2 linked regions of the Ovis aries genome follow. The protein of the gene in region 2 interacts with the protein of the main gene of each other region in a pairwise test. Links are inferred from orthologs where the notes say so. Each region holds a gene or a part of one and is shown on either strand. Other genes may lie near its edges.

The links.
Region 1: the proteins of C21H11orf68 (region 2) and EIF4H interact in binary tests that used the Homo sapiens proteins (3 or more experiments, as listed by UniProt). The two-hybrid records come from large-scale screens. The link is inferred for Ovis aries from reciprocal best matches to the Homo sapiens genes C11orf68 and EIF4H.

Annotation. Positions count from the first base shown.
Region 1 is NC_056077.1:33,653,878-33,657,587, reverse strand, and holds the end of EIF4H (eukaryotic translation initiation factor 4H), read left to right. Parts: intron 1-1,010; coding exon 1,011-1,148; intron 1,149-1,232; coding exon 1,233-1,372; 3' UTR 1,373-3,164; downstream 3,165-3,710. UniProt on the Homo sapiens protein: Stimulates the RNA helicase activity of EIF4A in the translation initiation complex. Binds weakly mRNA.
Region 2 is NC_056074.1:40,461,807-40,466,293, reverse strand, and holds C21H11orf68 (UPF0696 protein C11orf68 homolog), read left to right. Parts: upstream 1-1,557; 5' UTR 1,558-1,579; coding exon 1,580-1,701; intron 1,702-2,184; exon of another isoform or gene 2,185-2,426; intron 2,427-2,673; coding exon 2,674-3,430; 3' UTR 3,431-4,065; downstream 4,066-4,487. Other genes in the region: DRAP1 (dr1-associated corepressor), read right to left, coding at 11-104, 225-344, 617-710, 819-891, 1,135-1,176.

The sequences.
Region 1 (3,710 bases), on a different chromosome or scaffold from region 2:
TGTTCCTCAAGCTCAGGATCCTTCTTCAGGTATAAGTTCCTACAGAGCTTTGAGCAGTGACACCACCCTTGGAGTGACTGAAAGTAGTCACCTGCAGGAGCTTAAACATAGAGGGCAAGCGCATTTGTTTAATTGTGATCTTAAATTTTTATTGAGAGCGAAAGGTTGTGCTGTTAAAAGGTTATCTTAAGACAATTCGCCCCCTTCCCCAGTGACTTTCAGTTAAATACAAAACAAAGTAAGGCTTAAGGTTCTTAAAAGTCCATTGAGAAAATGTTTTTCACACTGAAGACAATGGCAGCTTACTCTAATTTTAAATGAGATGCAGTTCACTTGTGTTGGTAATTATTTTAGCGGATGCACAGAGGACTTGGGGGGAAGCCCTTTGCAGCTGTAAGAGGTGTGGGTTGGATGTGTGGTTCCTGCTCTCTGACTCCCTCTTTGGGAAGGGAGTGGGCCTGATGAGAGCTTTGGTTACACAGAGGTGCTTTGCTTTTAGAATGATACACACCTGAATGGCAGCAGAAACTGGAAAAAGGGGAGTGGTCACCCAGGGGTGACTTGGTGTTTTTATTTTGTCTTCAAATCTAGCTGTGTGTGTGATTTTGCATTCTAAATTGTAACTTCTAAATTTCAGGGTTGTTTTTTTTTTTAACAACTATAGATTATAATCAGAACAATAAAATGTGCTTTGAGTTTTATTTTAAGCCTTGTTAGGATACAATCTTACTGACTTCTCCTACAAACTTAAGAATTTAAACAGCTTATTTAATTTTTCTCTCCTAAGATTCTTTTTTTTTAATCTTCTACGATTAAAAAAGTCTGTCAGTGTTGAAATTGCCCAGCAGATTCACATTTAAACCCGTTTTGAGTGCACTTGATCTCGGAAAAATTTCTGATGCTGGACAAACTGAGGCATTTTAAATGGAGCGCAAACAGTTCACACAGCTGTATAATCAGCTTTGAGACAGGAGTATAAAAAGTCCTTTGTGGTTCTCTTCCTTCCACAGGTTTCAGGGATGACTTCTTAGGAGGCCGGGGAGGGAGTCGCCCAGGTGACCGGCGAACAGGCCCCCCAATGGGAAGTCGTTTCAGAGATGGCCCTCCCCTTCGAGGGTCCAATATGGATTTCAGAGAACCCACAGAAGGTATGATGGTGACATGTAAACGGGCGGCAGGAGGGCGCCTTCTCGCGACGCCTCGGTAAACCGCGCTGTGTTTCCCTCCCCCAGAGGAACGAGCACAGAGACCACGGCTCCAGCTTAAACCTCGAACAGTCGCAACACCCCTCAATCAAGTAGCCAACCCCAACTCTGCCATCTTTGGGGGAGCCAGGCCCAGAGAGGAAGTCGTTCACAAGGAGCAAGAATGAGCTTGTGGTGGGGAGGGAATGGGGGTGTGGGGGGCGTTCGCGCGAGACCACAGCCTGGCTCGCCCCCCGGACCGGCAGTCCTGCAGTTACCATTCCTGCGCCTGACCTTTGTCCTCCTTTCTTACAACGGAAACACAGAGCTTGTGAGTGCATGTCAGCAGTTAACAAGTGGTTTTTAGTACATTCTTGGCTTTGCTGTATCTGCCTAGTGCCTGTTTTGTGCTTTTTTTCTTCCCTGCCACTCCTTTCCCCTTTCCCTTCTGTCCTCCTCCCTCCCCGCTCCTTGTCTCCTTCCGGCACACGAGTTTCTCTAGAGGGGCAGAGGCGGCGCCGTGCGGGAGCTCTCTGGGTTGGAGTGCTGCGTTTCTTGCCGTTGCTTTCGCCTTTTACTTCTGCCGCACTGGCCTTTTCCTTTGCCTTTTCTCACTGCTTCTCTTCTGACCTGCATGTCGAGTTCTGTATTGCTGTGGCTTCCGAGGAAGAAAGCAAGTCCCACGTTGGATAGCCCCTTGTTTTTAGTCAGCTGGGATCAACAGACAGCCTTTGGGACACCTTGCTTTCAAAACAAGGATAAAGTATCTGTTGATCTCTGCAGATTCCTTCCTGTAACTATTTATAGGTAGTCCTGACTCCACTACCCGCTTCCCAGATGGGCTGTTCACGCGGAAGAGGCTCACGTTTCAAACAGCAGAACCTGAGAGAATGGTGTGAACTGTCGGTGGGGCGTGCACGCAGGAGGCAGACTCAGTGCCCTGCTGCGCTCGCGTGTTTTTATCACTCTTCCAGCACTGTGTCCAAGCTGGTCTCCCTCGGGCACCAGCCGTGCTAGAGGCCCCTCTGTGGCTGGATGTGGTGAACTGCCGTCCAGCTTCCTCTCCGCTGGGCACAGAGGTGCTTTGGGGGCCGCAGGGGGCGGCGCTGTGCTGGGCTCACCCCTGTGTGGACGCGGCTCCCTCTCAGACCCCCACTGTGTGTCCTGCCTCACTCTGTGCTTCTCTGTCCCCCAGCATTAAGTCACAGTGAGAGCCTGTGCTTCCCACCGTCCCTTAATTTTGGAATGAAAATGGGCCTAGGATCTGGCACTTTACTCTCTCACTTGATGAACTGAGAATTTGACTATGCAGAGCTGTCAGGTAACAGGGAGGTGGCCCAAGGTCACCAGGTCTCAGCTTCAGGACGTTCACTCCCACATAGAGTGTTCAGCTCGCACCCAGGGCCGGGCAGCTAGGCAGCAGCTTTTGAGCTCAGACACCTATGTGTGAACACATTTTTCAGCACCCGAGTCCCAGTTCATCCCACTGGGAGCAGTCCGGGCTCGGCTAGAGCCCCGGAAAAGAGAGACCCTCACCAGCAAGACTGGAGGGCCGGGGCAGCCGGGCCTGGGCGGCGCGCTTAGGAAACAGCTCCTCGTTAGCTGCCGCCCTCGGCTTCTCCCTGTCCCCAGGTCTCAGCAATCCACAGAACTCTGCCTCCTATCCTTCCTTCCACCTGTCATCTTTGCTTCTGAGATAAGAACCATTTGTGTAACACCAATACTTACCTAAAGAAAGACATGCATTATGTGGTTGTAATCAAACCTGATGCTTTCAGATGACCTACTTACATCTTCAATGTGGAAAAGATTAAGAACAAAACAAATTCATCTAAACTTCTGGGCAATCCAGTTGACTTTTAAATGTAAGAATGGAATTCCAAACACTTAACACATTCAGCTATATGACGACAGAAAGTAAATCTATGGATATGGTATTTTGTGAATGATCTTTTAAATAAAAGAAAACCTTACGTAATATTTAATGCTTGTCTTTATTTTTTTGAGTTTTTTAGCTGTTCATAAAACTAACAATTTTATATTTGGAAAGTCATGTCCAAATTTAGTAGGATGTCCTGTTCAGTGGGCAAAGCCTCTTGCTTTCAGAAGTTACAAGATTTGTGAGCTTATTTTAGAAGCTTGTAATGATTAGAAATGGAATGCCAATTTTTCTCTTTTTTCCCCCATAAAAATAGGTTTTGGTTGGGTAATCCTGGGTGTGCCCTCATGTTAGTGCTGGGTGCTGCTTCTCGGCAAGCAGATTGTATGTTGAGGAGGTGCCGCTGGGTAGTTTGCTGGTTTCTGTGGCCCAGTGGGCAAGGTGCAGGGCTGCAGACTATATTCGGGAGAGGCCCGACTGCTGGGGAAGGGGGTGAATCGACTTACCTTGCGGTCGGAGCCTGACTGCAACTTAATCTGGAGAAATGAGCGGGGAGGGTGGGGGTGTGTGCCACCAAGTGCCTGAGCGACTGTTGACTTCAGTTGCTCCCCAGCAAGAGGACTTGATTTCAACTGGTGTTTTCGTTC
Region 2 (4,487 bases):
CCTCACTCACCTCCTGCTCTGAGTCCGTCCCTGACAGCTTCTTGTCCTTGCCTTTGCTTCCCATCCCACCGTTCTTCCGGCCACTGCTGCCTGGCTTCCGGCCCCTTCGGGAAGGTACAGTACATCTGCCCACAGGTCTCCCCACTCCTTCACCACTCCCCAGCCATCCCCAAGTCCAGGGGCCTTGGCCTTCCCCACCTGGACACTGGTCCCTGGCACCCTACCTGCGGGGACCCTTGTCCCCATCCATGTGGTTGTCTTCTCCATCCCCCTGCATGTCAGGCACAGATGCCACCAGGTCCTTCAAGAAGTCAAACTGCTGCTCCAGCTCAATGCACTGTTTCCTGGAAGAAGTGGGAAGGGGTTGGCACTCGGATGAGGCCCAGACATCTGGGCCCTCAACAAGGGACAGTACGGACTCTGTGGATGTCAGGGGAATGGAACCTGGAAAATTTCCACCCCAACCCTCCCCCTTGGCCAGAACATCCTAATCCTCCTCCTCAAATCCACAGATCTCACAGCAGCCTACCAATTCCTTATCAGGGCACAGCCTCCCCCAGGCGTGTGAACTGGAGGAAGACCCCCAACTGGGCCCTCTAGGATCGGAGCCACTCACAGGTGGGATGTAGTCATGGTCTTGGCGTTTCGGGACTGGGTAACTTGGCATGCTTTCTTCAACAGAGACTCCAAGAAAAGCTCGAGCGCCCGAGCTGAGGAGGGTCAAGGAGAACGCAGGGTGGTGGCCCAGTCCACAAAAAGCGACCCCGGGGCTGCCGGGCTCCCCCACTCCCCCATCCCGACAGCTCCCGACAGGATACAGATGATGACAGGCACGGCCGCCGCCACCTTCCCAATCTCTTCATCCGTCTGCATGATCTTCTTGATTCGTGCCTGGGGAGGGGGCAGACAGCTCGGACCCCGTAGCCTCCGTCCCAGAAAGGGTGCTTAAGCCGGGCAGAGAGAGGGAGCATCCCGGGAGAAAGGGGGCGGGGGGCACCCACGCTGGAAGGGCACGGAAGGGGGCGGGGCGTACGGGGCCCCGAACACGGCGATGCGCCCGCCTCCCTAGTCCGGCCTGGGCCGGAGCTTCCCGAGAGCCCGGCCCGTTCCTCTGGGGCCCGCTCACGTGCTCACCGGCGGGAACCGCGCGTTGTACTTCTTCTTCTTGCTCGGCATCTCGGGGCCTCTCCCGCCGCGCCGGACCCAGCGCCGCCGCCCGCAGCCTCCCGGCACCCGGGCCTGCTCTTAGCCCGTCCGCCGCGGTTCCCCCGGGTCCTGGTGCCGCCGGCTCCGCCCCCAACGCTTCCTACAGGGTCCTAGCGCCGCCGGTCAGGACGCCGCCGGCAGGGCCCGAGCGCCCTCCCCCTTAGAGCCTCCCGGGCTTTGCGCGTCCGTCCGGGGCGGAACCGCCACTCCCGCCCGCCCCCAAGACCTGAAGAGCGAACGTTAGCTCCGCCCCCCAAGGCCCGCCCCTCCTCGCCTTCCCTGATGGCCCCGCCCCCATGGCCCCGCCCCTTCCCGGCCCCGCCCTGTGCTGCGTTTGTCTATAAAGTTCTTGTTGAGGCGCCGGGGTACTAAGATGGCGGCGGCGGCGGCAGCCGTGGCGGGGGCGGGGCGCGGCGGTGGCAGCGGCGCAGATCCCCGGCAGGAACGGAGCCGGGCCCGGGGCTGGCCCGGCGCCGAGCGCAGCGAAGGCCGGAGGTGACGCTGGGGTTGGCGGGAGGGGGCAGGACGGGGGCGCAGCTCGGGCCGTGGGCACTAATGGCGGCGGGCGCGGCGGGGCGGGAGGCAGGCTCTCCTGCAGCCTCTATCCAGCCGGGGTTCGAGTCCAGGCACCGCCCCGTTGGTCTCGGATCGGACACTGCCCGTTTCTCGCCTCAGTGCCCTCGTCTTTAAGTAGGTTGGATAACGCTCGCCCGGAGGCCTGGCCCCATGGGCCCTGCCTCGGTGCGGCGAGGACGTGTGCTTTGCCTCCCTCCATTAAATCCCAGCGCCCGGGAGAGCGGCCAGGCTCTGGCAGGGCCAGGAGGCGTAGCTGGGCCGGCGGTTCCCGCATTTGAATTGCCGTTTCGGCCCTATCACTCACTGAAGGTGTGACCTGCAGTGAGCCCCTTCTCTCTGAGCTTCGGTTTCCTCGTTTGTAGGTCAAGGAGAGCAGTAATAACACTAACTACATTTATATAGCTTTTGTTCCACCTCAGGCGGTTAATTCTGCACAACTGCTTGAGGCAGTAACAAGTTGTTATCCATTGTGGAGACGCGGCAGCCGAGGCCCAGGCCCACACCGTTCAGTTCAGTGCCTGGCACCCCCTGCTGCTGCTGCTGCTGCTGCTGCTGCTGCTGCTAAGTCGCTCCAGTCGTGTCCGACTCTGTGCGACCCCATAGACGTCAGCCCAACAGGCTCCCCCGTCCCTGGGATTCTCCAGGCAAGAACACTGGAGTGGGTTGCCATTTCCTTCTCCAGTGCATGAAAGTGAAAAGTGAAAGTGAAGTCGCTCAGTCGTGTCCGACTCTTAGTGACCCGTGGACTGTAGCCTACCAGGCTCCTCCATCCATGGGATTCTCCAGGCAAGAGTACTGGAGTGGGGTGCCATCGCCTTCTCCCTGGCACCCCCTAGGACTCAGCAAGTTGAGTCTGTCCCGGCCCTGCCCTGATTCGGTTCCCTCCCGCAGGATGGAACCAGGTGAGGAGCTGGAGGAAGAGGACTCTCCAGGTGGTCGTGAAGATGGCTTCACTGCTGAGCACCTGGCTGCAGAGGCCATGGCAGCCGACATGGACCCCTGGCTGGTGTTTGATGCCCGCATGACACCTGCCACAGAGCTGGATGCCTGGTTGGCCAAGTACCCGCCGTCCCAAGTTACCCGCTATGGGGACCCTGGCTCGCCCAACTCTGAGCCCGTGGGCTGGATTGCAGTGTATGGGCAGGGCTACATCCCCAACTCGGGTGATGTGCAGGGCCTACAGGCCGCCTGGGAAGCTCTGCAGACCAGCGGGCGGCCCATAACGCCTGGTACCCTGCGCCAGCTGGCCATCACCCACCAAGTGCTCTCTGGCAAATGGCTGATACACCTGGCACCTGGCTTCAAGCTGGACCACGCCTGGGCTGGCATTGCTCGGGCTGTGGTTGAGGGCCGGCTGCAGGTGGCCAAGGTGAGCCCACGGGCCAAGGAGGGGGGGCGGCAGGTCATCTGCGTTTATACGGACGACTTCACGGACCGCTTGGGTGTTCTGGAGGCAGATGCAGCCATCCGTGCGGCAGGCGTGAAGTGTCTGCTTACCTACAAGCCTGACGTCTACACCTACCTGGGCATCTACCGGGCCAACCGCTGGCACCTCTGCCCCACTCTCTATGAGAGCCGTTTCCAGCTGGGGGGCAGTGCCCGTGGCTCCCGTGTGCTGGACCGTGCCAACAATGTGGAACTGACCTAATAGGGCCAAATGAGGGAGATGGCCATTGCCCCCACTACTGGGGCTGGAGCCTCCGCCTGTCTTCCCTCTCCTTGTCCCATGGAGGTCGAGCCCCTCCAGCTCTGAGGACTGGGTCACTCGGGAACTGCCTGCATCTTCGATCCCTTTGAACTTCTGTCCTGTGTTTGGGCTGACTCCAGTCCCTGCTGGCTGGAGGCAATGGCTCCGTGAGGGCTGGACCCTCAGCCTCTCTTCGCTGCTGCCTCCCCTCGGTCATCCAGAACCACAGGCGGGGTGCAGACGCCAGCAGGAGAACCTTCCTTGGCCACCCTCATCCCTGGCTGCACCTCCCCCTCCTCCTGCTTCCTCCTTTTCTCTTCCTCTTTCACAAGAGAGAAAACTAGTGCTTCCAATCCCTCTCCTCGGGGCCTTCACAGTGCAGGGGGCAGAGGTCCTGCGGGCCTGAGCATGCCATTTTGTTGGCGGAGAGTGGGTAATTGCTCCCACTCTGCCCCCAGCACAGAAGGGGGATGCCAGGGCCAAGGACACAGGGCCTGTCCCTGCCACCTCACAGCCGACACCACCTTCTTCCTTTCTTTGGCTCCCTTGTCACACGCGTACTTCTGGCATTTCAATAAACCCAGCCTGGGTCTGTGTCTTGAGTGTTTTTTACAATACTGTGTTGGTGGTTACCTGCATTGGTTGGCGGAGAGAGGCAGGGCCAGGAGAGACTGCCCCCTGTGTCCTGATTGCCTTCAACCGCCAAGCTGGGAATGTCTCTGAGAGCCTCTTCAAAGTCAGTCCTGTCTCACCTCCATCCCAGGAATCACAATCAGTTGTTCAGTGATTTCCCATAAATTCAAGGACTTGGCCCAGTAAAGTCTGAGGGACTGCTGCTAGCCCACAGGGTGTGTTCGTGCCCGTTAAGAGAAAGGTACCTCCTTGGTTCTGCCCTGCTTCTCCACCAGGGCACATGGTCCAGTGAGTAGAGGGTGGGTTGGGTTTCGACCCACTTGGCTGAAATATCCTTGTGCAGTGAACCTTTCCCATTAGAAAAAGGTACCTCCTTGGTCCTGCC